2 linked regions of the Astyanax mexicanus genome follow. The protein of the gene in region 1 binds, or shares a complex with, the protein of each later gene. Links are inferred from orthologs where the notes say so. Each region holds a gene or a part of one and is shown in the gene's direction. Other genes may lie near its edges.

Region 1 (8,503 bases):
ACTGATGAACTGAGCCAATCACAACGCTCGCTTTCAGATCCCCGAACACTGCCCAGCCAATCACAGCTCAGCTGCAGCAAGCAGTCTGCACATATACGTCAATCTTTATAATTGTTCATTTAAATTCCAGCTCTTTGCAGAGAACACGCTACAGTTGCCAGTATTTATACCATTGCCATATATTTACTGCTTAGCTAAAGATCAGTAACTTTTAAAGTTTCTAGACGCGACCAAATAATCGAGTCTTTTAAAGACGGATATCCAGCAGCATCACCGGTTTGATGGTATCAGTGAGAACGCTGTTTATTACGGTGGCCGAGAAAGCCCAGCGCAGTGCAAATTGAAAAGCGCTGCAAAAGCACAAAACACATCCATCAAAATTACAACACAGGCGCAGCAAATAGAAAAACGCGCTGCAAATAGAAAAACGCGCTGCAAATAGAACCACAACACAACGGATGTGAGTCACAACACAACGGAATTTTCCCGGGGGACCTTAAAAGATGCTGTACCAGCTGTATACAAAGGACAATAAGTGGCAAACAAGCTTCTGAAAAGTAAGTTATGTTTATTACCTGTGATTGCCACGGTTGTGTGCATATTATTAAAAGTTCTGCTTCACAAAACGCCTTGTTTGCCACTTATTGTCTTTTGTACACATAGTGAAGTCCGAGACGTACAGTATCTTTTAAGGTCCCCCGGGAAAATTCCGTTGTGTTGTGACTCACTTCCGTTGTGTTGTGGTTCTATTTGCAGCGCGTTTTTCTATTTGCAGCGCGTTTTTCTATTTGCTGCGCCTGTGTTGTAATTTTGATGGATGTGTTTTGTGCTTTTGCAGCGCTTTTCAATTTGCACTGCGTTGGGCTTTCTCGGCCACCGTAGTTTATAGTAGTGAGGACATGAAAACGGAGCCCCCCCCTCTCTCAGTTAAGTTTATTCCTTTCGGTTTTCTTCAGGTGTAGGTCTTGTTGAACACCGTTATCTTACCAGGTAAATGGTTGGGTAGTTGTTACGCCAGGCAGGTAGTTTATATACCACTGAGCTCTTTAGTTAAGACTTCTAATGAACATCTAGCTAACAATCCAATGCAAACTTAGCTAATACTAGCTAATTAGTAGGCACCAACTGATTGTCCCGACGTGGAGCTACGGTTTTAATAGTAGGTTTTGGGCGTAAGTAAGGTGTTTTCTGCTTATAATTAAGAATCTGTTTATAAAGTAAATAGACTACACCGCGAGTCACTCACACAGCTGGTGAGAATAGATTAATTAACAGCAAACTGTGACAAACTGTGTATAATGACTAGTTTCCACACCTCAGGCCGTAGACTAGCTTTAGCCCAGTAAACGCTATGCTAGTAATGCGCATTACCCAAGAGTATCAACTACCAATCAAACATTAACGTGAGTTGTATGAAATTAAATTGGCTAGCTAATTAACCCTTATTTATATAATTTAATTTGTCAAACTTTAATGAACTAATAATAATTATTATTATTATTATTATATATATTTTTTACTACAAACTTAAGTTAATCATAGAACCTAGTTAACTAGTAAGACTACTGAACATCTCTCTTTAAACAGTAGTAACTGCTAGTAACTAGGATTAAAATGGAAATTCGGGATGTCAATGCATTGTTCCATGTCGCTGATTTGAAAATAAGAAACGTTAAACCCGATTTCGGTTGATGAGTCGGTTGATGAGTCGGTTGATGAGTCGGTTGATGAGTCGGTTGATGAGTCGGTTCATGCTGATATTTAGCTCTATTTATTTATTTTTTAAATCCACGCAAACTTCAATTTTTTCTGCAGATTTCCTTTAGTATGCTCTACTGAAGCACTTCTACTTTAAAAGACCAACGGCATCATAACACTTTGCACTTGCTTAGAGCTTTATTAACACCTGTTCATCTACTCATTCATGTTACTATCTAATCAGCAAGTTGTGTTGTAGCAGTGCTGAAAACTATGCCAATAGACCAGCAGCTTCAAACAATCCAGATTCAGAATGCACTTTTATTGCTTGTTTTTCATATTTTGTTTTAAATAAAATTTTGAAGATTGTGCCATTTAATAAAGACAAGAAATAAATGCTTGTGTTTTTTTGTTTTTGTTTGTTTTTTTGTCCACCTGCTGAGAATTATTGAATAAAGTATAAAACACTGAATTGTTTCGGCTGTGCCATAATGAATCAATCTTAATATTTAGATTTCCCTTCCCATCAAAGAATTGTGAATGAGCCAATAGATCAGAATTATAACCTTTTTGTCCCCGTTATTTACATTTACATTATTTGAGGAACATCAGTATTGTAGCTTATCCACATGGTTAAGTTGTGCCAGCTGATTTCCATTGTGCCTGGTGGCCTGGCAGCAGCTTTAGGACGTGCTGTGGATAAAGTTATGGAGATTTCTGCTTGTGCTATTTAAATTGGCGTTCAACACCTGGCCGCCAGGGGGCGCTGATTGGTGTGGCAACTGGGAGTTTGCACTGCTGGGGGAATGGTAGGCCAGCGCCTGGCAGAAAATGAGGTTATGGTCATATGTGGTAGGTTTCTAAGATAGGGAACCCTAGAATTTATATTTTCATGTGGATTTGGAACATTTCCAAAAGCGCTTTATTGTAATAAGAGGAAGACTACAATAAATCTGTGTACAAAATCTTTACAAACTTAATTTATTTTTGTACATTTATTTAGACAAAAATCTACTTTCATAATTAGACCAGAATGACTCAGCTGTTTAAAATATATATTAATATTCACTCTGAATTGATGCATTACAATTATAGAATTATGTAAAGCTTTATGCAACAGTTTTTTTATGCATTTTGTTTTTGCCATGCCTGCAGTGCTGCTTTTTACAATGTGTTTAAATAACACATTTTTTAAAGACATATCTTGAACTTTTGAAGAGAATTTTCGTAAAAATCAAGCTATTTAATTATATTTAAGGAATAACCCCGCCACTTAACCCCTTTACAGGCTTTGGAACGTATACAGGCTACGAGTGTAGATGATACAAAATCCTTATTCTCTGCAGTAAAATAGGTTATTCACATTCTGAAAAATTTGTGGTCTTTAGAGAGACTCCTACAGGTTACTTGTTGAAGCTACCTGTTCATTCTCTGCTCTACTTTATCATTTTAGATCAGTAACATAAATTAACCCCAAATTCTGCAGGTTTGAATGTAGACAAAAATTAGACAACTGTAATGAAACGAAAAGTTTGGAGGACATGAAATGTTTGATTTGTATTCTGGAAAATAGTGATTTTTAAAATGAAGTTAAGGAAAGTGCCAATGTTACGATTGTTATTCATTATATTTTTAAAGTTTTTTAAAGTAATTTTTTTAAAATAATTTCTATTACACTTACAATTCAGATTTGCAGTAACGTTTATTATTACACGTGAAACCTTTTTATGTAATGCTATTACAAGGTTTAGTCTTATAATATCAGGCAGAAAATTAAAAAAAATATTTGCCTGTTAAGAAGTTAAAAAGTGCTTGATTAGGCTGGAAATATGATTGGTGTGTTGTCAGAAAGTCATAACTCAAGAACCTTTTAATGAGTTTTGTCTGATTATATAGACCTCCATTGACAACCGAGTCTATTTTCTGTTTACAGAACTTTGTTGTACTGCTGTTTTACTATCAGACCACAGGATGGAGCTGTAATAGTGGGCCTGTTTTCCAGAGTAAAAGCGAAAGGAAGAGCTGCAGTGCTGAGCTTAAGTTTTTCGTCTATACTTTTATGTTTTAATTTAAATAAACCACATTATTTATCAGCAGTGGAGTGTTCTAGTGGACCACCATAGCAATAGCAAAAATTTCTCAATTTCTGGCATTTTTTGTTGTGGAGGACATGAGCTGCCCCCTCTCAGAAAAATAGAAACAATAGAAGAGAAAGAAAGAGAGAAAATGAAAGTTGTGAACTGTATCGTTCCGCTGCTTCTCTATCTGTGAAGATCTGCAGAACATTCCCCTCCTGGCTGGCTTTTGTTGTTGAGTGAAAAGGCATCCGGTTTATGAAATCTACCATATCTACGCCCTCTGCTTGTCTGCATAGCTCAGAGTGGTATAATTTAACTCCACTCCTATTCCGCCAAGCCCCGCCCCCCTATAATAAGATTGGCTGAGGCACAGACTAGGACGTTTTATTCTCTCTTACTGCAGTTCTAATCTTCTTGTGACCTCTTTATTTTAGCTTGTTCCCACCAAAAAAAAAAAAAAACACGGTTGTTTTGGTTATGTTGATTATTTTGTCACAACGTTGTGCCATCAACAATGTTCTAAAATAGAATGTGTTTTGTTGCCAGATAATGCATAATGTAACATGACCGACATCTAAGAAAGTCAGAAAGTCAAAAGGTACTGTAGTCTTATTACTTAGAGGGAGTGTTGCCTAATTAAACAAAGTTGTGACAATGAACAGGGCCAACTTTAAACAATGTTGTAGCAACATTGTTAGAGGAAACCACGTTTTAACTACTTTGTGTGTTTGCTGGGTTATTGTGGCAATACTTGTTTTTTTTTTTAAAGTGGAGTACTAATTAAATCACTAAATAAATAATATATATTTTATCTGCGTGTTTAGGCTTATGTTCTTTTCACATTTTCACATCATTTTTGTTGTTTACTTTTAACAATAAACTATTTAGCTTTTTATTGTTATACAGTATAAGTAATAGATATTAAATGCTGCACACATAATTACAACATATAAATTATGAGGATATTCAAGGTACAGAAAATATAAATATACATAAATTATGACAAAAACAAAATTAAGTTATACATACGTTTCATAAGATATCAGACATTTGTTGCTTTTTGGAGGGTTATTTATTAGTTTAAAGGAAGCTTAAGCTTAATAGTTAGGAGCAGTTCTGTCTAACTTACACATATGTATAAATAACCTAGTGGTAAGAACAAAATAGGTTTTTACATGTTCCATATGTTTGGTTCACACTAGAGAAATAACAAATTAACAATAACGTCCATAAGAGACATGGTTAATATTTGGTTTACAGTAAGGAAAATAATAAATAAAGAAAGACAGAAAGAACGAAAAAAATAAAGAAAATCTTTTCACAGATTCACAGAAAACAAGTAAATTGGTCACGTTTATAAAATAAGATATTCGTTACAAAGGTACTTCTTATACTACTTTTTCATGTACACGTCTATGAGTAGTTCTGAGTCTAGTCGCTGAACGACCAATCACTTTTGAGGAGGGGCGTGGCCTGTGCGGATACGGGTGTGGGAAAAAATAGCGTTAGCCGGGCTGCTGCTGCTGCTGCAGGGTGGAGCTTTGACGCTGCCTCAACCAGACAAACGGAGGCAAGGAAAAAACCCAGAATCTGACATTTTACCAACATTTCTGGAACTTACACCACTTTGACTGGGGAACGGGACTATATTTACACCGACTGTAGTCCGAAGGTGGACGGCCGGAGGTCGAGGAAAGCGGGGAGGTAAGGCGAAGTGGAAACTGTCTGTGGAAAGAAACGTTTGGTGAAAACTTTGTGAAGGGTGGGAAGTTCCTTCCGACGAGTCGCCCTCAGTCAACGCGTTTTCTCTGCAGTTTATTTAGCGAGTAGTGTAAGTTACTTTTATTCTGTCATATTATGGGTTTAATGCAGAACTATTCGACTAAATTACGATAAATTCCAAAATAGATGCTGTGAGGAATGAGAGAGCTGGAGAACATGAGAGCAGAAATGCTGAGCTAACTTTAGTTAGCTAACGCTAGGTTCTCTCAGCTTTAACGGTTTACTGGCTAAACCTAAACCTGTTGATATGAAACGCGGAAGATTAGCTAGCGTTACAGTTCTCATACTTTCTGAAAGCCTATTGTTAACCTTTGATTATTAAAATATTGTGTTAAAATTGTATTTATGAGTGGCAATAGCTGTAATGTGCCCGAATACAAAGTACACTAACGTTAACTGTGTGAGTTAATGAGAGTTTGGGAGTAAAAAGTCAAGTACGGCAGCTTAACTTAAGTGAGCTAACCTATGTTAGCTGAGTTATGAGCTCGGGCCTGTAACGGTCAACTTCATGCCTGATGTCACGTTTCTAGTTTAACAAACGTGTAATAGCCGCCATCCTAGAAAGTATTGCCAAGTGTACAGCTCATCTTGACCTCCTGTCTGAAGCTCAGTGCTTACTCATAGATTTGGAGATCATGTGTCTCTAATTAGCTAATGTAGCTATGATTTCAAGCGTTATAATGCTAAAAAACTTCCTAACAAAGCTAGCCAGCTAGTGAACTTAACTAGTTACTGAATAGGGCACTGAGAGAGAGAGATATATAGTAATAATAAAGTGTACTGAATGTGTGCGCACTAGGTTAACTAGCTAACTGTCCAACATAGAAGAGCATTACCGGTAGAATGAGGCACTCTGGAGCAGCCACTCACGAGGCTAAGGTCATCATGACCAGTGCCAGTCTCAGCTAGGTTAGACAGAGGTGGACGAAATGCCTAAATCATGTGGCTACCCGTGTTAAAGTTGAAAAAATTACACCTTACGTAGAAGTACCAAAGTAATAGTACCATGATATTTTACGATTGTAATGTCCAATGTCTTAAGACTTGACTGCCTAATGTTGGCAACAAATAAAAAACAGTGTTTAAATAAGCAAAAATGTAAATTAAAATCTATGTATGTAATAAAATATTTAACTTCATATTGCTGCGCATATACATATTTAAATATTTTATCTTAAAAGGTATTTAAAAGTTAAAATGTTATTTAAACACGATATTCATCAAGTAAATTACTGGTATTGCATCCTATGTGGCTTTGTTTGATCACTTCACCTTAAGTTAGAATGTTAAACCAAATTCTTCTTTCTTATTTTATTTAATGGAGGCATAACATTAAAAATTAAAGGGATTCTGTATTTACAAAAAAAGTGGCTTAAAAGAGGCTTAAGCATACATTCCAAAATACAATACAATCCTATACAGAACTGCATAAATCAATATGATATATTCCATAATGTTTGTAGGCATAGACATTTCCAAAATTTTCCTAAACAAGTTGCTCAGCGGTTGCACTGTGTGCTTGCGTACTGTAACTACAGGATGTCCAACATGTCAAATAAGTTCAAGACAGAGTGTATGCTATATGCTGACTGGTATGTACACTTTGTTTTTAAACAAAAAGACCTTCAAAATACTAAATTAAAAACAGTAAAACATGTATTTTACTTTGTGACTGTCTTTGTAATCACTACATCTTGAGGGGCAAGTTATATGTCTCTCATCTCTCTGGGTTGATGGAGCCTCATGCCATACCTATGGGATGAGCTATGGTGCCATGTGTACCTTACCTCACTAGTTAGCACTCTGGTGATTCAGTGCAGTCATAACAACAGTGGTCAAATATCTAGTGTAAAGCCCTCCCAGAGGAGTAGAAGCTTTTAAAGCAGCAAAGAGGAGACCGCCTCCCTATAAGTACAATTGAACTGTTGAGAGATTGGGTGTTTGTGTATGTGCTCAATTTTTCTACACATATTTGGTCCCTGTTTGTATACAAATACATTTCCCTGGTGCAGCTGGGCTTGGTGTTCCAGGTAATGTAAGTAGTAATTTGACCCTGCCACCTATCACCATGTTTCATTTCATTGTATGCTTTCCTGCATGGTAGTAGGGTGGCACAACAGAGTGTGTGTGTGTGCGTGCGTATGTGTGGCTGCACAGGAGCTGTCAGATGGGTGATATCAGAGGAAAAGATGCACCCTGCAGGGATGGAAAGTCTGCACATATTTGGAGAAACAGTCTAGGAGGCTGAGAGTGTAAAGATGTACAACTGTGAATTACACCTTTACTGAACAGTTCAGCCTGCATACACTGCTGACATAAAGAAAAGATTTAGCCAGAAGTTAAATTTGCAGTTTTTCTCTTACCCCGAACTTGATAGATTGGCCAAGACATGTCTTTTTTTTTTAGCTATTAGTGTAAATACTGAAGTCATCTAAATTAGTGTGAATTAGAGTGTCAGAGACTTACTTTTAGCACTGTAAATTTAGTATTACAGTATTTTTAGGTTAAATTAATATAAGCAAGCTTCAGACCTTAAACATGTCTTAGCCAATCGCTTACATTTTGGGTAAGGGAAGGGGATAGGCAGGATGCTAATGAGATTTTTAGCCTACACAGCATTTTGAGATAGAGATTTCCCATTTAAAGAAAATATAGTATACAACTAGGGTTAATCTTTGTCCAGGAAACTACCTCATTAAGTATGACACGGCATGCAAAAATACAGTATTCGCTTTAGAAGATATGCTATCTTGATGGATTATCCTACCTGGAATACTAAAGTTCTTACTAGATGTGAAAGTGTTTTGAAATAGACTGTTTGGCATTGTTTGTCAGGAATGACACATTTTTGTTTTTGCCAAATGTTCCAGTTACCCACATCAAAGTATGACATGTAATCTGCTAACCAGTAGGGTGTAATTATCATAGTAAACACTGACTTCGCT
Region 2 (8,168 bases), on another chromosome or scaffold:
GAATCTGCAGCCTTACCTAAAGGGAAAAAACATTAATTACCAAAAGCTAAACTAAACAAGTAAGTTTTCAGTCTAGACTTAAAGATTGAGACTGTGTCTGAGTCCCGAACATATTCGGGGAGATTATTCCAGAGTTGAGGCGCTTTATAAGAGAAAGCTCTTCCTCCTGCAGAGCTCCTCTGAATTTTAGGAACTACTAATAAACCAGCACCCTGAGATCTGAGTAATCGCGGTGGTTCATAACAGGAGATGAGGTCTTGTAAATACTCAGGAGCGAGTCCGTGTAGGGCTTTATACGTTAACAGGAGAATTTTATAGTCTATGCGGAATTTGACTGGAAGCCAGTGCAGTGCTGATAGTACTGGACTAATATGGTCAAATTTTCTCGTTTTAGTAAGGACCCTGGCTGCAGCATTTTGAACTAGCTGAAGTTTATTTAAGTTACTGCCGGAACATCCAGACAGTAGCGCATTACAATAATCTAGCCTTGAGGTAATAAATGCATGTACTAATTTTTCTGCATCATGCAGTGATAGGGCATTTCTTAGCTTGGCAATATTACGGAGGTGTAGAAAAGCTGTTCTAGTAACATTAGATATGTGTTTATCGAATGCTAGATCTGAATCTATGATAACTCCAAGGTTTTTAGCTGCTGAACCAGGGGTGGCTGAGAAGTCAGCCAGATTTAGCATTAAGTCTGATAATTTATTTCTAGCAGCTTTGGGGCCTAAAAGGAGAACTTCTGTTTTATCACTATTTAATAGGAGGAAGTTGTGCGACATCCATGATTTTACATCTTCTACACAATCCTCGATTTTCTTTAATCTCACTCTGTCATCAGGTTTGGCTGATATGAAGAGCTGCGTGTCATCCGCATAACAATGAAAATTCACATCATGTTTTCTAATAACTTTGCCCAGTGGGAGCATATATAATGTAAATAATAACGGTCCTAATATAGAGCCTTGTGGAATTCCGTATCTTACCTTGGTAAAACTGGAAGACATATCATTTAACCTCACAAACTGATAGCGATCGGTTAAGTACGATTTAAACCATGCTAAGGCAGTTCCGGTTACACCGACCATGTTCTCTAGTCTTTCTAAAAGGATAGTATGATCTATTTAGTATGATCTAAAAAGACAAATAAGCACTAACAACACATACATCCTGTGACAGTGAAGGCCACATTTTAGTTCAGTGATTTTAGTTAGTGATCATGGGTTTCCCTCAGTCCTGTTACACATTACAAGTCACATCTACAACAGGAAGTGACATCAGCTGGTTCTTCTGAAGATCATGGGAAGACCAAAATTTCCCAAAGTTCCCTCATTAGTTTTTCTGTATATTTGATATTATTTTAACTATGACTGAGGAGCTCAATCTTAACACTTATTTCTGTTATCTAAATTAATTCTTAGACATGGTTTGTTTATTTTAAAAATCACTATAATGTGCCCAGTTTCCTGGTGCTATTAGCATTGCTGCCATTAAGCTATTTTTCATGTTTTTTATGCTAAAAATGAATTCCTGATACTTTCAGTCCTGTTACTTAAAACATAAAAAGTAACAGGAATGAGTGCCAGTAACAGGAGTGAGTGCCAGTAACAGGAATGAGTGCCAGTAACAGGAATGAGTGCCATTAACAGGAGTGAGTGCCAGTAACAGGAATGAGTGCCATGAACAAGAGTGATTTTTTTTGTCATAGATATCAATTATTTTAACACGCAGCCAGCAGTCAACTATTTCTTTAAAATAAAGACTTTCTTGAGAGAAAATCAAAGAAATGAGTGGACTTGCTTTAAACATGCTTTTTAAATGTCACATGAGTTTTGTCACCATCTTTTGGATTAGAAACCATGTAAATAATTAAGTAAAGTTGCCTGAGATTGACCAGAACCTGTTTTGAATAGTTTAATATACAGGGGTTGGACGATGAAACTGAAACACCTGGTTTTAGTGCACAATAATGTATTGTGGTGACGGACAGTTCTGGTGGAGTTGAAGTGCACATTGAATTCTGCCGTGATTTGATCAGCCGTGGTTTTATGTTTTTTGGATACAATCCGGGTTAGCACCCGAACATCCCTTTCAGACAGCTTCCTCTTACAGCATCCACAGTTAATCCTGTTGAATGTGGTTGGTCCTTCTTGGTGGTATGCTGACATTACCCTGGATACCGTGGCTCTTGATGCATCACAAAGACTTGCTGTCTTGGTCACAGATGCTCCAGCAAGACGTGCACCAACAATTAGTCCTCTTTTGAAGTCTGGTATGTCACCCATAATGTTGTGTGCATTGTAATATTTAGAGCAGAACTGTGCTCTTATCCTGCTAATTGAACCTTCACACTCTGCTCTTACTGGTGCAATGTGCAATTAATGAAGATTGGCCACCAGGCTGCTCCAATTTAGCCATAAAACCTCCCACACTAAAATGATGACAGGTGTTTTAGTTTCATTGTCCAACCCCTGTATGTGTTATTAGATTCAGAATATAAAAAATAAGTTGGAACTATGCCTGATAATTCCAAGCATGGGCTAGAGGAGTAAAAGTCCCTATCTGGTTGGCTTCAAAATGTCACAATGGAAGTAAATGTTTTTTATATATAGTCTTCTCTTATAGTATATACAGTTTATTGCTTATAAACCTCTAGATATAGTATGCTTGGCAGCTCAAGGCCAACAAAATGTTGCTAATTGTCCATTAGAATTCTTGTCTGGATACTTTTGGACACACTTATGACGCAGGGAGTAACCCAGGTCATAAGTGGTGCAACACTGTGTCTTATTCACTGTAGTCAGGGCAGTTCTTATAGCTGTCTGCTCATCCTCACTCCGACAGTCTTATCCGTCCAGCAGAGTTACGGCTTTATCTTGGAGAGAGTATTTCAGGCTGGATGACACCCAGAACGGCCCTGTGGAATTCCCAGTGTTTTCCTGGGCTCTGTGTGGGCTGGGCCTCAGCAAACTTCAGACAAAAGCCAAGCCAGAGATGGCAGTTCCACAGAGATGTGACGCGTGCCTCACTTCCTCCACACTGTAATAAATCATCTACACATTAGCCAAGGATGAGTGAAACCAAATGTCGGTTTCCCTTCCAGTTGCCTTTTCCCCTCTTCTTCTTCCCTCCTCCCATTTCTGCAGACCACAGTGACTACATCAGGCTCAAACTTCATTCAGACACTTTTTGGCGCCACATCAACATAATATACAACTAAGAGGGTCTTTGAGGAACATCAAAGATGATACATTAAAGATCCTGTCTGAGGAGCATCACAAACATCTCAAAAACAGCACAAACCGGAAATTTATATTATTAAAGGAGAACTCCGGTGTAAAATTGACTTTTGATTTAGAGTACTAACCTTTGTTAAATAGCCCACCTCCGCTCTACCACAGCTTTCCAAGATCCAGTATTTTTTTGCAGTTGTCCAAACATGCTTAAGAAAGGATGATATGGGGCATATTTTGCCCCTGCAGATAAATTGCTTTTTGCACCATTATCCAGACTCAAAGAAGCTCCACACCACCTGCATTTGTAGAACCTGGAGAGCCATTAGTAACTTCAAAAGTGCACGAGAAGCTTATTAAAAACAGCTGTTTACAACCCGTAGCGTAACCTAATCTCTGGGTGCCGCCATCTTAAGGTAAAGGTAACTGCTCATGACACTCTCTGGAGATTTACTTTGAGCTATTTGAGTCTGTATAACAGTGTAAAAAGCGATTTATCTGCAGGGGAAAAAAATGCCCCATTAAAACCCACTCTAGCCTGTTTGGACAAACTGCAAAAAAAATAAAAAGAATGTAATCGCTGCATCGCATGTGGCAGAGTAATACATGGAGAGCTTTGGTTAAAGTGCATTACCGGCTGATAACAGTACTCATAGAATGCCTATCAGCCAATCACATTGCAGGGTCGGAACTAACTGTGGTATGGGTATCTACTTTCAGACAGTGCAGACTTTTAAAAAAAAATCTGAGGCACTCTGAGCCCTGTGCAGTAACAGGAACGTCTTTGCCTGGGGTCGACAAGCATGCATCATCAGTCCCATGAGGTTGTTTGAATTATAATTAACAATAAAGAAAAAAAAGAAATAAATAAAATGCTCCTCTAGAGAGCTTTTATTTTCCATCCTCCCCTATCTCTCTCTCTCTGTCGCACTTGGTGTGTCCGTTCTCGTTTCTCCACCTGTTCTTGGGCTCCTTATCTCCTTATAAGGGCGTTTTTTTCCAGGCCGTGTCCCAATTCACTAGCCGGGGCAGTGGTAGTGTATTGGACCATGTTCTTGGCGACACAGGTTCAATCCCGCATGAGGAGTGTTAATTTCTTTTTTCTTTTTTTTTTCCTTTCTTCTTGGGTTTACCTGCTTTGAGATCAACTGTTCTGCAATTGGGTTCAACAACCCTCTGGGCTGGAGATTTTTTTTTTGTGGCCCTCCACATAATGGCTTGGAAAATATCTTGCCAAATCCCTGATCTATGCTTTGTGTAAAACCTCTCTCTATATATATATTATGTGGAGTTTCTTTAAAATCTAAAGCTTCTTCACAATAATCTCCAGCTGTGATGTTAGGGGAGTGTGTGAGCTGTGGGTGATGGAGTGTGGTGGAGAGGTGTGGTCTACAGCACTGCTGCTGGCTGAGGAATGCACTGAACAGGTCTGGACCTGAGCTTCCGTGTTTAGCAGGAAGTCAGTTAGATGTCAGAGAGTCGAATGCAGCTCAGCTCACCCAGATACATGTGTCGGGTGGTGGCCACAGGAGGAAAGCCCAGCAGAAAAGCTGCTATCTGAGGAAAACAGGAAAACCTTCATTTATGAACCCGTTATTCATCAGCTGAGTCCAGAGGAAATACACCAAAGGTAGGCTGGGTGTGTTTTCTCTCAGTTCTGAAACACTGCTAACGGTAATGATAATCACAGAACTGCAGCCTGAGGAGCTTTACTTCTCCCCTCTCAGACACGCTGCTCCTATATACAGCGCTGATCAATCATTAACCCACAGAAAGTCGAGATTAATGGATTAATAACTAACCTTATATTGTGCTCTTATCAGTGTACCTGAACCAAAGTCCACCCTATTGTTTTCCCCAGAGGTGTAAAATATATTGTAGAAGTCAGTATTAGCTGTTTTTTAATCGTCTTATTAGATTTCTCTATTGATTGTGATGTAATTATTATTGTATAAAACCATTAAAAATGTTAATTACTCAGTACATATGATACACTGTTCAGAAACTGCTATTAATTATTCAGCATCCATTAAGAATGGTTCAGTCTCCACCATTAATTATTCAGTATATGACAATAATTACTCAATATCTACTATGGATTGTTCGGTATAAACCATTAATAGCTAACTAACTACTAAAATAATTAAGGACCTATTATGACTTATTTAGCATTTACTATGATTTTTTCATAACCCATTAATTATTCAGTATGTACTGTCAATTATTCAGAATCTACCACAAATTATTTAGTAGCTACTATGAATTATTCAGTATCTACCATGAATGATTTGGTACCTACCATTAATTATTCAATATTTACTATGAAATATTAATCATCCACTACAAACTGTTTAGTACCCACTATGAATTATTAATTATCTATCAATAATTATTCAATATGTACCATTAATTATTCAATATCTACTTATGGTAATCAATGATCTACTACAAGCTTTTAGTACCCACTGTGAGTTATTCAGTATATATCAATATTTATTCAGTATCTATTAATAATTATTCAGTTTCTACCATGATCTATTAGGTATCTACTACAAACTGTTTAGAACCCACTATGAATTATTCAGCATCTACTATGGATTATTCAATGTCTAATATTACTTATTATTTACTACAATGTGTTCAGTAGCTACTATGAACTATTCAGTGTCTACTATGAATTATTCATTATCTACAATTATTGTTTAATTATTCAGTATCTACCATAGATTATTCAATATCTACTAATAATTATGACATATCTACTAGAAATTGTTCAGTAGCCAATATGAAGTATTCAGTAACTGCTATGAATTATTTAGTATCTACCATGAAATATTCTGTATTTACCTGTCATTAATCAGTATCTAGCATTAATTATTCAGTGTCTACCCTGAATTATTAAACATATACTATGAATTATTACGTATGTACTCTAAATTATTCAGTACCCACTATGAATGGTTAAGTATCTACCTTTAATTATTTAGTATCTACCATTAATTATTTAGTATCTACCACAACTACTGCCCCTAATAATGCTGTTTTCTGTCTGTAATGCACACAAAGGAAAACTCTAACCTTCTAATACAAAATCTATATTAACAGAATAAATCAAATGAACTAAAATAAGTAAGCTTTTTTATGTCTGTTGGATTGGAGGCCATACATAAATACCAACATAGCCATGAAAAACGTGTTCTAATTCACATACAATCAAGCTCATTTAATTTGCTTCTCTGGCTCTAGTGCTGTTATTTTTTTTCCAGTGCAGTGGGCGGGGCTAAGCTACTGTTTCATTGGCTTATAAACTTTTTCATTGGCTCATTGGCAACGTTATGCATTCATTCACTTTACCAGCCTTAAGCTAATATTATATCATATTTGCGCTACTGTTGTATACGGGTTCTGTTAATACTTGTACTGTCATCCCATCTTAATCACCCCCCCCCCCATCACTATTGCACTATTGTCTTCTGTCTATGTATGTCTATTTGTGTCCTTGTTGTATTGTACATATAGTGTCTCCCATTATTTTATATTATATATCTATTTCCTGTTCTTGCTGTAATTTTTGGGAAGGAGAGTAACGTAATTTCAATTATCTGTATGTCCTGTACATATGCAGTATTGACAATAAAAAAAACTACTTGACTTGACTTGACTTAAATATAGGATGGATCAGACTATACATCACTGCCTTAATAAAGCCTGGTTTATGTGAATAACGCAGGTCACGCTGGGACTGGTCACCTGAGGACAGATTTCAGACAGAAATAGATAATACAGAGTGACAGAGTGAGCAGGACTGTGTGAGTCAGGACTGCAGGACTGGGTGTGTTTATAAACTGGACTGGGCTTTAGTGAGATATGCCCAGTCCGGATGAATGATAAACTGCTGTCTTGTGATGAAGTTTCAACAGAACTAAAGCAGAAGGAAATCGGATTGCAACATCTCCTCTCTGTTCTGACACACAGCGTATTATTGAGGGCAGCAGCGGATTAAAGGGAATTGTTTTAGCACAGTTTCCTAATTACCTGAGCACAGCAGCACATGATTGGCTGGCACTATAATTAAACGAGGCCAAATAACACCTGTGCTGTTGCCACACCCAGTCTGTCTTACTACACCAGTGAAGCAGCACTGTGAGCTGCATGTTGCGTTTTCTACGTTCCTAATGCAGGAAATGCTTACTCGATGCCTTCTTGCCCACACTATCTCACCAAGAGAGCAAACGAGGACCCTCCAATCAGCTTAAGCGGTAAAACTGATGCTTAAAGTTCATTCAAATCACATTTCCCTCCCACGATATGACGTATTTGTGATTGTGATTGTCATTTCTCTGTGTTATAGGTGGGAGGGGTAGGAAGATGAGTAAAGCTGTGCTGTTATTGGTTAATAGTGTGCTTCACTTTCTCTGTGATCATAGTGACATCATCCAATATTAGAAAATGTAACATGTTTTGTAATGTCTTTTAAAAACTTTGAATCATTTTCAGTATCAGTTATTCATTTTTTAGTAAGAAGTAGTATGACCTATTCATTATTTCCTATGGATGATTCAACCTTTACTAGAATTCATTCAGTGTCTTGTATGAATGTTTCTGTAACCAGTATGAACTTTTGAGTATCTCTTATTTATTATTCAGCTTCTACTAGGATTATGTAACCTGTATTATTTATTAAGTAACTAGTATAATTTATTCTGTATGTTTATGAATTAATCAGTAATTATTCAGCATCTACTCTGAATTATTCAGTAAAACCAAACAGTTAATTGTGTTTGATATAACATGTAGTATATGAACTGTTTTACAGGTTGTTTATTCTTATTCTTATTAGTAGTAGTAGTAGGAGGAGGAGGAGTAGGAGTATTAGTAGTAGTAGTAGTAGGAGGAGGAGTAGGAGTATTAGTAGTAGTAGTAGTAGGAGGAATA

What was found. Proteins that work in one complex are often made in the same cells at the same time.
Region 2: the proteins of tln1 (region 1) and amyloid beta A4 precursor protein-binding family B member 1-interacting protein are in contact, whole or in part, in a crystal structure (PDB 4W8P), measured with the Mus musculus proteins. The link is inferred for Astyanax mexicanus from reciprocal best matches to the Homo sapiens genes TLN1 and APBB1IP. Residues at the interface, in NP_035732.2 of Mus musculus: Leu1492, Ala1495, Thr1496, Val1498, Ala1499, Thr1502, Ser1503, Cys1506, Asn1507, Arg1510, Val1526, Ala1529, Lys1530, Ala1533, Asn1534, Thr1536, Ala1537, Val1540, Ile1543, Lys1544, Asp1547; in NP_062329.2 of Mus musculus: Asn5, Ile8, Asp9, Met11, Phe12, Thr14, Leu15, Glu18, Met19, Leu21, Leu22, Ser25.

The regions. Positions count from the first base shown.
Region 1 is NC_064427.1:27,068,000-27,076,502, reverse strand, and holds the start of tln1 (talin-1), read left to right. Parts: upstream 1-5,285; 5' UTR 5,286-5,480; intron 5,481-5,510; exon of another isoform or gene 5,511-5,607; intron 5,608-8,503. UniProt on the Homo sapiens protein: High molecular weight cytoskeletal protein concentrated at regions of cell-matrix and cell-cell contacts. Involved in connections of major cytoskeletal structures to the plasma membrane.
Region 2 is NC_064413.1:51,204,881-51,213,048, reverse strand, and holds the start of amyloid beta A4 precursor protein-binding family B member 1-interacting protein, read left to right. Parts: upstream 1-4,684; 5' UTR 4,685-4,863; intron 4,864-8,168. UniProt on the Homo sapiens protein: Appears to function in the signal transduction from Ras activation to actin cytoskeletal remodeling. Suppresses insulin-induced promoter activities through AP1 and SRE. Mediates Rap1-induced adhesion.